Rattus norvegicus: one gene and its partner. The protein of the gene in region 1 interacts with the protein of each later gene in a biochemical or structural test. Links are inferred from orthologs where the notes say so. Each region holds a gene or a part of one and is shown on either strand. Other genes may lie near its edges.

Evidence for each region.
Region 2: the proteins of Ppp2r1b (region 1) and Ppp2r2a form a complex in vitro, tested with the Homo sapiens proteins (2 studies listed by BioGRID). The link is inferred for Rattus norvegicus from reciprocal best matches to the Homo sapiens genes PPP2R1B and PPP2R2A.

What each region holds. Positions count from the first base shown.
Region 1 is NC_086026.1:60,100,500-60,108,505, reverse strand, and holds part of Ppp2r1b (serine/threonine-protein phosphatase 2A 65 kDa regulatory subunit A beta isoform), read right to left. Parts: coding exon 7,858-8,006; intron 7,638-7,857; coding exon 7,523-7,637; intron 7,131-7,522; coding exon 7,060-7,130; intron 6,797-7,059; coding exon 6,662-6,796; intron 4,564-6,661; coding exon 4,390-4,563; intron 2,568-4,389; exon of another isoform or gene 2,455-2,567; intron 2,136-2,454; coding exon 2,075-2,135; intron 1-2,074. UniProt on the Homo sapiens protein: The PR65 subunit of protein phosphatase 2A serves as a scaffolding molecule to coordinate the assembly of the catalytic subunit and a variable regulatory B subunit.
Region 2 is NC_086033.1:45,388,273-45,396,278, reverse strand, and holds part of Ppp2r2a (serine/threonine-protein phosphatase 2A 55 kDa regulatory subunit B alpha isoform), read left to right. Parts: intron 1-2,299; coding exon 2,300-2,465; intron 2,466-7,134; coding exon 7,135-7,247; intron 7,248-8,006. UniProt on the Homo sapiens protein: Substrate-recognition subunit of protein phosphatase 2A (PP2A) that plays a key role in cell cycle by controlling mitosis entry and exit. Involved in chromosome clustering during late mitosis by mediating dephosphorylation of MKI67.

The DNA of each region.
Region 1 (8,006 bases):
TATAAAAGATAAATTAATAAGTGAGATACCCACCACTTAGAAAACAAATCTGGAACTTCAAATTTCCCTCACTGAGCCCTGCCTCCTTCTCACTCTGCCCAATGATAGAAACACAGCCTTCATGCCCACCCCCTCAGCCTCTCCAGACTGTTCACACTGATCTTACAGCAGTTTCATGCCAGGGAGGGGTGAGGGGGATGTGTCCCAAAAAACCTGCTCACTGCTCACTGTGCACCACTTACATGAAAAACAGCATTCTTCTTCCAATTACAGAAATCTAACCTAAATCGCAAAAGCTTCAGGAAGCCCAGGTGAAGGGGATGTTCCCAGCTGCCACCCACCCACTGCATCAGGGAACCCTGCAGTCCCCAGTTTGTGTGTTGCTGCTGTATTACATAAACTCCACCCTACTAACTCCCAAGTTGGAAGGAACGAAGGAGGCAGGACACTTGGGTCCCCTATAGCCATCACCTACACAGAACAGGTGCCATTTCTCAACTTGTGAAATACTGGAACCTAAAGGTCCTTCAAAATGTGAGGGACAAAAAGGCCCGTCTATTCCTTAACTGCATTCAAAGGAAGTAATAATAATAGAAAGGTCTCTGGGAATGCCACTGACAAGAACACGTACCCAAAGAAAACTTTCTTAAATAAAAACAAAATTCCTTGGACTGGAAGATGCCTCCGTGGTAAAGAATATATACTGTTCTCATAGAAAACTGGATTCCAGTTCCCAGTACCTAAGCCAGAGGGCTCACAACAATTTCAGCTCCTGACCAGGATCCGATGCCCTCTTCAGCCTCCGAGAGGCCCCTCAAGCACAAGTGCAAGCCCATATACAGACACACATTCTTACACATGATTTAAAATAGAAAAATTAAAGATGCTTTCCTATTTGTTACCACGTTTCTTTTGTTTGTTTTTTTTCTTTTTTTTTAATAAATGATCACTAAAGATGTAACTTTTGAGAAAACAAGGAATAAAGAGGTCTTTACACTGTCATTTAAAAGCACAGATGTATCCATACATGCGCCCTAACACATTGTCATACATGGCTTCACAACCTTCCTTTTACACTCGTACACATGATGCAAATGTGCTTTTAACAAAGTCACCTGCAAGTGTAAGCAGAAGGATATTCTTATTCTTTCCCAACTACCCAGTCACAAGTACCCAACTATAAGCAAGCAGTACATAAAGCATACGCAGCACACTGAGACCACAACAGGATGCTTATGACACACACCAAACACGGACCCAAAGCTCATGGGACGTATCACATGGGAACTGAAGGCACTCCCTGGGACTGAAGCGGTTAAGGCTAGGACCCGGTGCAGAGGGCCCCACCTGCCTTCAGCCACCAGGGAGACAGAGATCTATGCACACACTGCCCTGAGGCATCACCAGCATTCTTGACCAATTGGAACTGTCCTGAGCTCACACTCTCCGCACAGCAGCAGCTGGCAAAGAAGAGACAATAAGCTTTCCTTTCACAACACCGAAACCCTGGCTCTGCCTCAGGGTACGCACATGTCCCCAACTCCTACTGCACATGAGTACTTCATCTGAGAAAGCTGGAGTAGCCAACCCTTTCCACCCAGGCCTTTCCAATCTGTCAGCCTGGTCTCCAGTTACCCAGGACGCCGACAGCAACAGGTCAGCTGCAAGCCCTGGCTCTGGAGGAAATGTCCGTCTCAAGAGGTAGAGAGGGCAGGGCTACTCAGCCCAGAAAACACATTGAAAACAGAAAATAACAGAAGTACAAATGTCAGATCTGTAGCCAGGTTGAACCTGTCTTTACTCCCAACACTCAGGAGACAGGCAGAAGACCAGCCAGAGCTGCACAGTGAGACCCTGTCCCAGATTAAGTAAATGTTTATGGAGTCGGGGAAAGCCAGTGGAACTTCACCAACCTTTCTTCAGCATTACATTGTCAAGGCAAAGTGTGTGTCCCACAGGATTCCTCTGCAAACAGCCATGTGTGCACATCACAAACATGCAGAAGCCTGGACTTCCCATAATATCTGTTTGTTTGTTTTTTTTCATAATATCTGTTTTTAACTTGTCTACTCACCATGATCCACAAGCCAGGCCATACACAAAGAATTCAGCTTTTCATCAAAAAACTCCACACCCTATGGATATAGAAGATTCCATTAGTAAACATTTCCAGAGTTAGGACAAGATGTTCTATTTACACTGTACAATATTGACCTAAAAGCTAAGGGCACACTTGCACATAAGCTGAACCACAAAAGAGCCATAAAAACAGTAGCATAGAATTACAAACTATGATACTATCAGAGAAGGCAAAACCAGGCGAGAGTGATGCCAGCCAAGCTTATGGAAGGCAGAACTGAACTACACATGCACACGCACAGGGCTGAGCAGAACAGGCACAGCACAGGAAGAAGTCTGCAGAGCAAATCTAGACACCATGGGAAAGTGAATTACCCAGAAAAATAGCTGCTGAGGGGCTTGGTAATTCTCATCTCTCCTTTTTAGTTAGCAAGTCCTTGAGCACGCAGCAAGTGACACCAAGAGATCACCAACAGAAGACAGTGTTTCTAGAGCATGAGAGAAGGCAGTAGAGAGAAAAAACAGGCACCAGTGTGCAGGACAAAGGTAGAAGTGATAGCTGGCGCCTGACTCTCAGCCTGTGGTCCCCACACAGGCTGGGAACAAACGAAGACCTCTTGCCATAGGACATACACACCACACAGGTAAGCCCAGGATGCACACTTAACTGGTGCCTTCCTTTCTGGTTCACGTCTGAGACATTCCTGACCAGTGACGATGTATGTAAAGAAAGACCAACAACAAGGGTTCTGTGTTTACACAGGACGGCTTCACCAGGCCATGACCAAATCTGGCAGGCACTTCGCCCACAGCATCAGCTCTCAGACTCCTACTTTTATTCCAGATTGAGGATTTCCCTGTGATCTCCTTTAGACAGTCTGTGGTTTAACTCTGTATTTACTCATCAGGCCTATGAGCTGGGCTGGAGAGTCATGAGAAAATGTTATTGACTAAAAGTTTACACAAAAAGAAAAATTAAGAATACTAATATGGAGGCAAGAGATGGCCCAGCCATTAAGAACATTTGAGCTCTTACAAAAAGCCTGGTTTTGGTTCCAAGCACCTACATGGCAGTTCACAACTGTAACTCCAGTTCTAGAGAGAAAGACACAGTGACCATGACTGACAGATGCCACCCCAGCCAGTGTCCATGACTGAGGGATGTTGCCCCGGCCAGAAGGTGTTAACCAGCCAAGACGACATCTGTCTTCTTTCCACACTCTTCTGCATACTGCTGGCAGCCCTGGAGACTTTCCAGGTCTGGTGGGGTAAGGTTCAAAGAAATGGTAAACACAATCCACCTCCTCCACCTCCTTCCACACAGGGGCTTCGTTCCACCTAGCAAGCCCATCATTAGCCACTGCTGCTTTCCACTCTAGACAGTGACACAGAAGATGACAGAGGAACAGAAAATGACCCCCATTTGGAATGGATGGTGAAGAAACATGATAAGATGACATCACTTGACACATGGATAAGTTAGGATCTTTGCCCTTCATTTTGAGGAACAGAGAATTTCAGATTTGATAAAACATGGCTATCTACAAGACGCATGCTCATAAACCACCCAAATCAGTAATGGTGCAGTGGTCAAGAAAATACGAGCCCGCCCATGTGCTGTGATCCGAAAGGAGTGGAAATGAACCTTTGGGCAGGGCAGGGCACTGGGGTTGGGGGGCAAAGTACAGAAATGTCAGCAGTAAACTGATCCATGAGCATTCTGAAACTACTCAGGTCTCCCTTCATCCAACTCGTAGGAAATGCCAAGTGTCTAATTAATAACTAGCACCATGAAGCCACAGAAACCACCCCACAGTTAACTGTCTAAGAGCTACCATGGGTAGGGGTGAGGCTAACAAGCTTGCCCTCGTCTTCCCCTACTGAGAAAAAAGGGAAAGGTGTGCAGTAGAGTCAGCTTTGAAATGTTAACTACTCACATCTATTAGAATAAAACTAATAAAGAAATTACATATTCTACACCTTTATCATGAGGAGGCAGTAAGGTGAATGTGTTTCTGGACCACCCTCCTGTTAGGCCATAATGCACCACTGAAAATAAAAACCATCCTCTGAGATGGTGGCACACACCTCTAATCCCAGCAGGCAGAGTAGGCAGACCTGGTCTACAGGGAGAGCCAGGATGACCAAGCCACACAGAGAAACCTTGTCTTGAAAAAGCAAGCAAACACAAAAGCATCCTGCAGGCCACAAGAATTTACTCCAGTGCATCTGATGGAGACACAGCAGCCTGACTACCTGAGCCCCCACTCGCCGTAAGTCCACAATTGGACTCCCCGGCACGGTACTCACCAGCTGGCCAGCCAGCAGCGGCATGTACTCAATGATCGCCAAGCGGACCCTCCACTTGGCGTCCTCAGCCAGTTCCACAATGGCAGGGAGGAGAGACTGAGAGAGCTGACGGATTCCAATCACTTCATTCACACAATCCAAATTGGAGATGATATTTAAACGAACTTCTGGACACTACAATAAACACACAAGCCCCAGAGACTCCATGTGAAAATTAGCTGCTTTGCCCAGTACTCTCCTAGCATGAGAAAATAAAAAGTGCTAAACAGAACTTCAAATGAAAAGTACTAAGCTGGGGGGTGGCCCACATCTTGTACCCCAGCACTTGGGAGGCACAGGAGGGCAGATCTCTTAAGGTGGGGGTCACCCTGGTCTACAGAATGAGCTCCAGAACAGCCAGGGCTGCACAGACAGACCCTGTCTTGAAAAAAAAACAAAAACAAACAAACCAAAACAGAAAACAGAAATTAAGTCTCGGCTCAGGTTTTAAAAGGTGGGGTAAGCTGCAGTGAGGCTGTGAGAAAGGCATTTGTCCAGCCTGCACAGAGCCATGGACTTGAGGGCCAGAACTGACCAGAGGAATACCGGCAGAGAGAAATCCTTAGTGCTAAGTACACAGGTAATCCAAAACACAGTGTCACTAATCGTAACCACAGTATCAGTAAAAAGTCATGATTTTGTAATTTAAAAATCAATTAACAAATTGGCAGGTGAGAAGGCTCAGCAGGAACAGGGGCTTGCCTCACAAACTGGCAATCTGGATTCAATCCCCAGAACTCGTATAAAGGAGGATTGAGAGAACAGACTCCACAGAGATAGCCTCTGAGCTCTGTATGTATACACGAGTGCACACTCACTCACACAATAATAAAGTTTAAACTTTTAATTAGGGGTTGGGGATTTGGCTCAGTGGTAGAGCGCTTGCTAGCAAGCACAAGGCCCTAAGTTCGGTCCCCAGCTCCAAAAAAAGAATAGAAAAAAAAAACTTTTAATTAATAATTAAGCATAAAGTCTATGCGATGGTAAAAAGCCCAGGCCCTGGAGTTCAGTTCTATGTACTCAAGTCTTAGGTCTGCCCCTGCGCGGGGAGACCTCAGATGTCTATCCCTGTGCTTCACTTCCTCTGCATGAGGAGTCAGCCTCAAGCCCGCTGGGTGTGAATGGCATATCCAAAGCACTCCGATCATGCCTGACACTAACTTTCACATCATTTGTTCATCTGTATGTATGTACTGTCTGTGTAAAGTGTACATGTGTGCCCAAATGTGTGGGTGCCCATGAAGGCCAGCGAGGGAGTTGGATCCTCTGGAACTGGAGTTGCACTTATGGGCCATTCAATATGGACACCAGAATTGGAGCTCTGGTCCTCTACAAGTAGCAGGCCTCTTAACTGCTGAGCCACACCTCAGGCCACTAAATGTTAATATCTGAAGCTACATTTTAAACATAAGTAAAAAGATACTGTTTAAGCAAAGATATATGAACTTTAACTATAAGGAACCAGTGATATAACATAAAACATTTAGCAGGTAGTTCAGGCTAGTTTAAGACTGACGTATTTCATGACTTACATGAACATGTTTATGCTCTGTGGACCTGGCACCTGCAATGGCCAGAAGAGGCTCAGACCCCACGGAACCAGATTCACTGACAGTTGTTAGCTCATGCTGGGAAGCAAACCAACGTCCTCTGGAAGAGCTCATGCAGCTCACCATGCAGCTCCCTCTCCAGCCGCTCTTGGTTGGTTGCTTGGTTGGTTTGGTTTTAGAGGCAGCATTTCTCTAAGTAACCCTGGCTCTCCTAGAACTTGGTCTATGACCAGGCTGGCCTTGAACTTAAGAGATCCACCTGCCTCTGTCTCCAGAGTGCTGGGATTAAAGGCATTTTCCACCACACACAATTGGGTTTGTTTTTAATTACTCCTTGTGCCCAGTTTTGGGGAAACCTGTAACCCTATACCCAAAGAGAAGGATTGTCAAACATCTAAACTATGATTCCCCCGCCCCATCTTCACACTTTGGGTCCTATCTTAGCAAAATCACCAAACCAAAGCTTTCCAGTCCCTTTAATCCCAGCACTTGGGAGGCAGAGAGGCGGGCAGGTCTCTAAGCTCAAGGCCAGCCTGGTCTACAGAGTGGCGAGTTCCAGGACAGCCAGAGCTACCCAAAGAAACCCTGTCTCAAAAAACCCAAAAGAAAAAAAGAAAAGGAGAAGAAACAAGATCCTATCAAATCAATTACACCAAAGCAAAGGGATTCATAGCCAGACTCACCTCATCCTTTAATTGAGCTAAAAATAGAGGCAGAAGATGTTCAATGGTATTCTCTTTGCCCAAAACTGTAGATAATCCCATAATTACAGAAGCTAGGGCTGACTTGACATGTTGGTTGGTATCAGACACTAATTCCTAAAACAGAATAAAAATTAAAGACAACGAAAGCCTGCACACCACCTCCCAAGCAGTCCACAGCAGCACTGGTCAGCAGAGCGGCCGACCCAGCCGTCTGGAGTAACAGACTATGCGTCCACAAGCTTTACAAGTATAACATGCACAAATCAACTATAAATATTTTCACACATTATGCATTTGATTCATTTATGCCTCTTTCTTCTTTAAATGCTAAGAGCTTCATAGGTAGGGTAAACAAAATAAAATGAAGTCACATTCACCTTTATATAGGGCAGGATTTGGTTCATAATCACGGTCTCTCTGCCTTCAGTGGGCAGGTTCTCACAAAGCTCTGAAACAGGAAACACAGTGCTGTCAAGGAGCCAAGGACAATTAACCACATCTTCCAAGTTAAATCATAAGTCCAAGCAAACAACCTCTGTGGGGCAATACGCCTACTTCTCACAGCAGAGCTGAAAGTCCTCTGATCTCAACTATGGGACCTTCCTCAGCTCTCGAGGACAGTGCCACATTCCGCATGCTGGTATCATCTGTCTGCAGCGTCTTATGAATTAAAACTAGGCCAGACTTCCTACCATGACAACTGCATCAGAGTGGGAAATGTTGCTGCACAGACTCATTTTTCTCTGGTTTATACATTTTGGGTCCTACTTTAGCAAAACGCCATCCAAACTACAGTGAGTGGACAACGCCAAAGTCACAGGACTCCACAGCCAGTCTCACCTCTTACTTTGTGGGCAGCGGCTGCTCGGACTTCGGCCTCGCAGTCTCTGAGGAGGCTCTGGAAGGCGGGGATGAGGTCACTGAGTGCAATTTTAGGGCCCACCGCTTTCTGGAGCTAGGAAACAATTTATACAGGTGTAATGTATACTAACAAAATAGTAAAAACAAAATTTAGTACAATCATCATAGAGTAATGAAAATGGAAAAACTAAGCAGGCTCTCTTATTTTTTTAATTCACAACCATTCAACAGAATTTGTAAGCTGTGTCCGATAGAAAATCTGTGGGGCAAATGCCTTTGAGGTTTTTAATCCTTGAAATGCCAACACATTTTACCTCTGAAAATTTGTCAGCCACCATGTAGCGAACCCGCCAAGATTTATCTTCTGCTGCTTGCCGAAGTGTAGGCATTACCAAGGCTTCCAGGTCATCCTGAGACAGTAGCTGGGCAATACTGACACACGCTTCTACAGCTAGCAGGCGCA
Region 2 (8,006 bases), on another chromosome or scaffold:
TTGTACTGTTTTTGGTGAATAGAAGTAGCTTCTCTTTGGAAGCTGTTTCTGTGTTGCTAGATGTGCATTTTGCTAAATCCTTTCTGTTCCAAGTGCTTTTCCTCAAGCAGAAATTTGACTGAAAGCATGCTATAGTTCCGATACTAATACAGGTGTTAAGGATAAACTATTTGTAAATTTGTTAAGGAAAATTTCACACATAGAGCACATGGTGAAGAAAATAGATTCTTGTGGTCATCAAAAACAAAGTAAGAAAATCGGGATGTTAAAGCGCCATGCAAAAAACTGGAGCACGGTACATGTTAGAATGTGTCATAATTCTCTGTTAGGTAGGAGTGCTGTTTTCGTTTTTTGTTTTAAGTGAAACCCAGAAAGCCACCCTCTGACGTTGATGTGTGTTCAAGTAGATGATCTTTTTCTTCACACTTTTCACTGTCATGGGTCCATTAGAGTACAGAACTGCCATGATTGCTTAACCTAAGCACAGGTTCTTCTGTTGGAGGAAAAGGCCAGCTGCAAGCTCCCTTTTGTAGTCTCAGAAGGTTTTTTGTTTTAAGTGCTAGGCCATCTGTTCTATTACTTTGTCTTAGGGGTGAGTTTCTTCTTCACTTCTCTTCTGTAGTTTGGTGGTGTGGCTTCTTTTACCCTTAAGATAAAATTTTCTTTGGTAAAAGGTGTTTCATGTAGTCTATAGCTGCTGGACTCCTTTTTGTTGTTGTTGCTTGTTTGCTTGTTTTAGGTTTTTGTAATAGATTGAAATAGATCAAGTCTGAACCTTGTGTGAGGTTCTTGAGGAATCTTTATGATGGTGTTCTGATTCTGTTTCTGAAAAATTTTTTCATGGTTTTCATGGGTTTATGGTTTTCATGAAATAATTCCATGTGTAGCTTCTTATTTTGTACACTGGGTACTTGAAGTGTATACTTTTTCAAGTTTTTTTTTTTTTTTTTTTCCCCCGGAGCTGGGGACTGAACCCAGGGCCTTGCGCTTGCTAGGCAAGCGCTCTACCACTGAGCTAAATCCCCAACCCGTGTATACTTTTGACATGAGGTTCTGTTCTCTTTAAGCCTTAGATATTCATGGTACTATATACCATCGTTTAAATATATTTAAAGAAAATTAAAACAATATTCACAATAATAACTCAATTGTAGTTTTATTTATTTCATATAAGGCTGTTTGGGTAAGTTTAGGTGAAAGATTGACAGCATGTGGTATTTTAGTATACATGAAAAAACAAATACGTTATGGAATTTGGTATATGAGTGTGGCACACCAACACACCCCAAGGTTGGATGTGTTCTTGGTATATTCTGAAGACTTCACAGTTTTGACCAGCCCATTCACTAATTATTGATACGTGCCAGAATAAGTGATTGAAAAGTTATGACTACACTGTTAGAAGACACAAACCAAAGTATGTGTTTCCGAGATAATTGAACAGGTTTCTTCTGATGTGAATGGGAAGATGGCTATTTTGGTAGCTATAAATACTTCACTTGATAACTTGGTTTTTATTAAAGTGATTGCTTATCCATACAGTTGTAATATCATTTATTTTTCTGAAGATTCTAGTAAATTTTTTTAATAATATTCTTACAAAAGTGTTTCTAATTGTGTGATAGGTCACAAGTAATGTTTATATGAATCCCTTTAATTGAACAAATATATACCAGCAGACTGGCACGAAGTGAACTAAGCATTGGTGTGTGAGGTTCCTGTAATCAGAACTCAGGAGAGTAAGCCATGGAGCAGAGGTTCAGGCAGGCGTTGCCAGGGTGCTGTTGCATACTTAATTGGCAGCAAAGTTGTCCAAAGGGGTGACATGGGTTGTTGGATTTATGAGAGCACCTTTTAAAGAGCTTTTCAGTAGGGAATATAGAAAGGAACGGCAAAAAGACCAAGTATCAGATTAGATAAAAGAGCAGACAAAATGTGCTCCAGCTAGCTGTTTCTGATCAGTGGCTTTCTCATTTTACATTTTAAATGGTATCCATTACTATGGGTGTTCAGTTTTCTTCTTTAACGGTATGATTATGCTATTTAATATACAAGTTAATTAAATCAGTCTGTATTTGGTGTACCATCTCCCTATTAAATGAAGCTTACTTAAGTGTTTCCTTCTTGCTCTTCGTAAAGCTTTCTTTCTCCTTGAAGAATTTTAAATACAGAAAACAGTACAATAGGGTGTAAGATAGAGCTGCCTGGTTGGGGTATCTACAATTTTCAGAGTCTGTTGGAGTTGATTATGGTTTGATATATTTCTCAACATAGTCCAAATATTTTTTTTCTGTTGTAGAACAAAATCCAGTCTCATAGCAGAGGAGAATACAATGTTTACAGCACCTTCCAGAGCCATGAGCCAGAATTTGACTACTTGAAAAGCTTAGAAATAGAAGAGAAGATCAACAAAATTAGGTGGTTACCCCAGAAAAATGCTGCCCAGTTTTTATTGTCTACCAATGGTAAGTGTGCATCTTTTGTTTTCAGGCATCCATGGGCATATGGTTCTCCAGAGGATGCAGGCCCTTCCCTTGTGCAGAACGTTAATTTACTACTTTTGCTTCTTTTATTGCTAACTTGCAAATTCAGATTCCTGGGTACTAATTTTTTATTTAGGCCAATTTTATTTCTGCCTCCTTTGGTTGATCCCAAATCCTGAGTTGAATATTCCTTACCAGAAGACATAGGTAGCAGTGTCTTTGTTACAGCACTGTTATGAATGTATATTAACATGGTAACTTGGCAGGTAGACCCAATGCTTAGAAAATGCTTATTTTCTTTCCAAACTTTACAGAAGATGATTTATCTCCAGGATGATTTCTAGGAGAGTATGCTTCTTCCTTGACTTTGACTAGCTCTTCACTTTCTTCTCTATAAGCCACATGGGTGGAAGAAGATTCTCATGTTAGCTGTATTTGTGTAAGGAAAGGTGGGAGAAAGGGTTAGAGCTGGGTGTAATGTTGGTCAGAGTTTGAGGTTTTGCATGACAAATTAAGAGTAGTATAAATTTGTGTGTGTGTGTGTGTGTGTGTGTGAGAGAGAGAGAGACAGACAGATAGACAGAGAGAGAGAGAGAGAGAGAGAGAGAGAGAGAGAGAGAGAGTGAGTTTTGACTTATCAGGACCTTGAGATTGAAGAGATGGGGGTGACACTTTGAGATCTGGGTGTCATGGTCTATTAAAACTTTAGGCTGACACACATTAGCAGAAATCTCACATTTATCTCATCTAACTATTAATAGAAGCAAACCTTAGCACTTACATCTTTCTGTTTGCAGAGTGTGTAGACTCATGACTACTTAGGGTAACACAGTGGGAGATATTTAGAGCCCCTTCGTGCACTCTTGTACCCTGTGGTTTATTGTATTGAATTTATGGGGATGCAGTGCATAAAACATCGCTCTACTCCTGATTCCATGCCTCCTTGGAGACCCATTTTCTCTCAATTAAATTTTTTTACCCTTTTTACCCTCTGCCTTCCTCTTTCTAAATAAATGACAATTTCTTCGTGTTTACGAGGCAAGGGAGGTAGTGAGACAGTCTTGCATCATAGCCCAGGATAGCTTTGAAATGTTGATATCCTACTTTGGCCTCCCAAACATGGGTATGCCCACTGTATCCCACCTCACCTCTTCCTGAAAGAAAGTGATATAACACGGCTGCAATACATTGCATCCTTGATAGAAGAATCAGATGATAGTTTCTAGTCTTGCTTCCATTTTGATTTATGTGGTAAACTGAGGTACATCAAATAGCTCTTCAACACTTTTTTTGCATCAAGTAAGTAATATGATTATACTATGTGTTTATATATTTGTTTTGTTTTACTTTTAGAAACAAATATCCCTGGGAAGTGTGTTGTATATTGTAGTTTGTGGTTTGAAAATATTTGTTTTTATGGTCAAGGGTATTTCTGTCTCTAGAGTTGATTTTTGGTTTTGTTTTGTTTTTGTTTTTGTTTTTTTTTTTGTTTTTTTTTTTTTTTTGAGACAGGGACTCACCAGTAGCCCAGGCCTACCTGGAACTTACAAAACTCTGCTTCCCTCTGTTTCCTGAGTATTGAGATTAAAGGCAACATTATACCCAGTTACATACTTACCTTACCTTCCTTTCCTAGGAGTCTGTGTGTTCTATAGACAGTGGACAGTATCTCTAAGCACAGTAGGTGCCTACATTTGAAAATACTGAATAATGCTACAAATTATTTAAGGGCCTTGACTTAGTCACTATTCTGTTGCTGTGAAGAAACACCAAGACCAAGGCAACTCTTATAAGAGAAAGCATTTAATTGGGACTGGCTTACAGTTTTAGAGGTTTAGTCGTTATCATCATGGAGGGGCAAGGGATATGGAAAGGAATGGGACAGACAGACTGGATCTGGCATGGGCTTTGGAAACCTCAAAGCCCACCGCTGATGACTAGGCTTTCAAATACATGAGACTATGGGGGCTATAATTATTCAAACCACTACAAGCCTGAAAGAACAGATTGCAGTGTTTCGTTGTTATTACTGATAATCTAAATTAGACAGTCATACATTGGTGGGGGATATCTAAATAAGACGTTGGTAACACCTTGGGGGGATATGTGTTTAAAAATAGGGCCCAATATGGTAGTATTTAAAAGGTCAGCATTTTACAGACTTGTGTTTGAGTGTGAAGGGCTAGAGAAGGTAGAGGAAGGGTAAAACTGGAGCCATGCCCAATGGTTTTGATGTACATAAAGCATCTCGGAGATGTCAGCACTCATAGGGTGGCCTCCATGTTTACTGTGAGACATAGCATCAAAGCCCTTATATATTAAATGCAGAGTTAGAAACAAAAGTTGTTTGCCTTTCCCTGAGTCCTGCTGCTCACCGTATTGAGCATGAGCACTAGTAAAGAGGTTGTTCTCAGAGCTTTTGGCAAGATATTTTTAAGTCATAATTAATTAAATGGATTTTCATGTAGCAATTTTATTTCCTGTCTTCCTGCTTCCCAGTGTACTACACTGAGATCATGTAACTATTATAGTATTTCAGTGTTCTGTATTCCATGACTGAAACAAAAACATTTTTAAATTCTAAGTCACAAGCTTTATGATTGAAAAAAAATGTACCTTAAAAAAATTCTTTCAGATTTTGTCAGAGTTGTTTGTTTGCTTTAGAGGGCTTTATTTGTTGGGGGGGGGGCATGGGCCTGTGTGCACACATGCGCTGTTTTGTTTTTCTCTAAGAAAATAGGAACTAATTTAATCCCATCTGAAAGTTTGGTATGTTACGGTCCTATCTGGACTGTTTATAAGGTTGATGAATTTCAATAGACTGAAGATAGAGCTCGGGGTGGGGGGTATTTGTCATTCTCATCTTCAGAAAGGGATTTCTAAGCAATGCTTATGTCTTCCAAAGTTAAGAAAGAGAGTGTAAATGGCTTTTATGTGAGCACCTATTACTCAACCATCTGTCTGTAAGCCTAGTAGTATACTGGAAGCAGAGCCTAGCTGCAGAGGAATCACAAACAAGATCTAGATGAGAGCTTAGGGGTACACTGTAAGATGCTGAAGCCAGGAGTTTACACTTGAATCAAGTGTTGCAAGCAGGCAGTAGAAATGGCTGCTCTAGTGTCTCCCTGTAGATTGTCTTGTATCACTTTTAAAATGGCTTTCAGGCTATTTTAAAACTATGATATTCAATTTTGCTTATATAAGATCATTCAAGGGGCTGGGGATTTAGCTCAGTGGTAGAGCGCTTACCTAGGAAGCGCAAGGCCCTGGGTTCGGTCCCCAGCTCCGAAAAAAAAGAACAAAAAAAAAAAAAGATCATTCAAAATGTCTTGCTTTTGTATAAAAATACCATTTTAGAATTATAACTACATAAAATCATACATGAGTCCATAGTAAATAGTCTTAAACAATACATGGGTAGACTTTTATTTCCAAAGAATAAAGTGAGTAGGTGTGCAAAGTGTGCGGAGGCGAAGCCTGACAATATCAACTACTAACCACCAATTATGCTGACCTAGTCTGTATCCTTGTATGATGAGCTTGGAAGTCACTTCTCCATTGTGTTCTTCTAAATACCCAGTGACATTCTTTGAAGGGCCACACTCCTACTATTCACAGCTGCCCTGATAAAGACAAATTATCCGAGTCTTTGAGAGGCAGATTAAAGATTAAGGAGGCTTCATGGCAAAATGTTGTGGAGTTTGGACCCTGAGACAGAAAATGGGTGTTGGTTAATGGGAAACTTCTTCAAATCTTAGGGACACCTTAGTTTCCGTAGTGTTACACATGGTTTTCACAAGCTTTGCCATTGTTGCGTAAGATGCTAACATTAGACCGGGTAAAGTATATGTGAGAATACATCTATATTTGGAACTAATAAGTCTAAATGCAATTCCAAGGTAGTGTCTGTGTGTGCGTGTGCACAAGTGCATATAGTATGTTATTGTATGCATCCTTGAATTATAGGGGTTTTTGTCTTGAAGGAGTTGAGGATTTGCTTTTAATCACTGTTTTCGGGCCCCTGTTCTGTATTTAGGGAATCCTTGATTCAAGAGGAGAAAAGACAAATTCAAAACAATCATGCTATCAAGGAGCCTGGTCTCCCATTAGATACACTGGGATAGGATCTGAGGAGCTAGGCCTTGCCACTTGAGCTCAGTAATAGGCAGTGCTGCTTATTTTCTACCGTAATATTGATTGCTGGGCACGTTTGTGCACAGACATACGTGTTTATACCCCTGAAACAGTTCGAAGTATTTCTGAGAACTAGAGACCTTATTTAGACTTTATGAATAAGCACATGGCTTTTCTTTTTGTTATTGTTGTTAAGAGTAGCTTGTGCTGAAAGTGGGGCCTCACTCTTTTCATTCTAGCACCTGAATGAGGTATATAAGAATTCTAGAAAGGTTTCGTTGGCTGGACCCTCCCCAGCCCTTGGGAGACGGAGCTAGGGAGATCTCTCTTTGAGTTTGAAGCCCGTGGTCTATGTAGGAAGTTTAGGCCAAGGCTGTTCACTGAAACCTTGTCTCAAAGGGGGTGGGGTGAAGTAAAAATTCCTTTAGGTGAAGTATTTGATGGCATATTTAAAATGGCCTATCAGAATTATTTTTTTTCCTGCTGTTTTTGAAGGCTTTCTTCATTCTTTCCCCAGATAAAACAATAAAATTATGGAAAATCAGTGAAAGAGACAAAAGACCAGAAGGCTATAACTTGAAAGAGGAAGATGGAAGGTATAGAGACCCTACTACAGTCACTACACTACGAGTAAGTCCTTAATAACAACGACTCCCAGTCCCAGAGCAGCGGTGGGTCTCTGTGTTTGAGGCCAGCCTGAGATATAAGGAGACCACGTCCTCAAAGAAAGGGGGGAAAAGCCTCTGATTGGTTTTTTGTCAATATTTGTATACTCTGGCTCCAAGCTAATGAACACTTCTTTATGAGACATTGTATCTCTCCATTGAAACAGAAAATACTCTGTAGTGGTCTCCTTGCTAACAGAGGCAGAGCTGGACACACATAACCTGTGTTTTATACTATACTATTCACTGGTTTGGGCTTTCAGTGCTGGAACCTTCTTTGTTACATAGAGAGCTTTGGAGCTGAGGAAGTAGAAATGGCAGACTCTTACAGTTTGTGCTAAAGGTGCTAAGAATAAGAAACTGGGCTTTTGGGCTGGAGAAATGACTCAGAGGGTAAGAGCAATGTCTGCTCTTCCAGAGATCATGAGTTCAATTCCCAGCAACCACATGGTGGCTCATAACCATCTGTAACGGTATCTGGTTTCCTCTTCTGACCTGCAGGCACACATGCAGACTGAAAGCTGTTTGATGTTTATATAATAAATATTTTTTAAAAAAAGAAAAAAGAAACTGGGCTTTCTATTTTAGTTTCATAATTCAAACCAGAAACATTTGCTAGTTTATACGAGAGCTACGATTTATAAACTAGTACTGTTTCTTCCTGGAAAAGAAGGTAGGTTGTTCAGATTGTTTATTTTTCTTCTAGTTCACTGCTTACCAACCA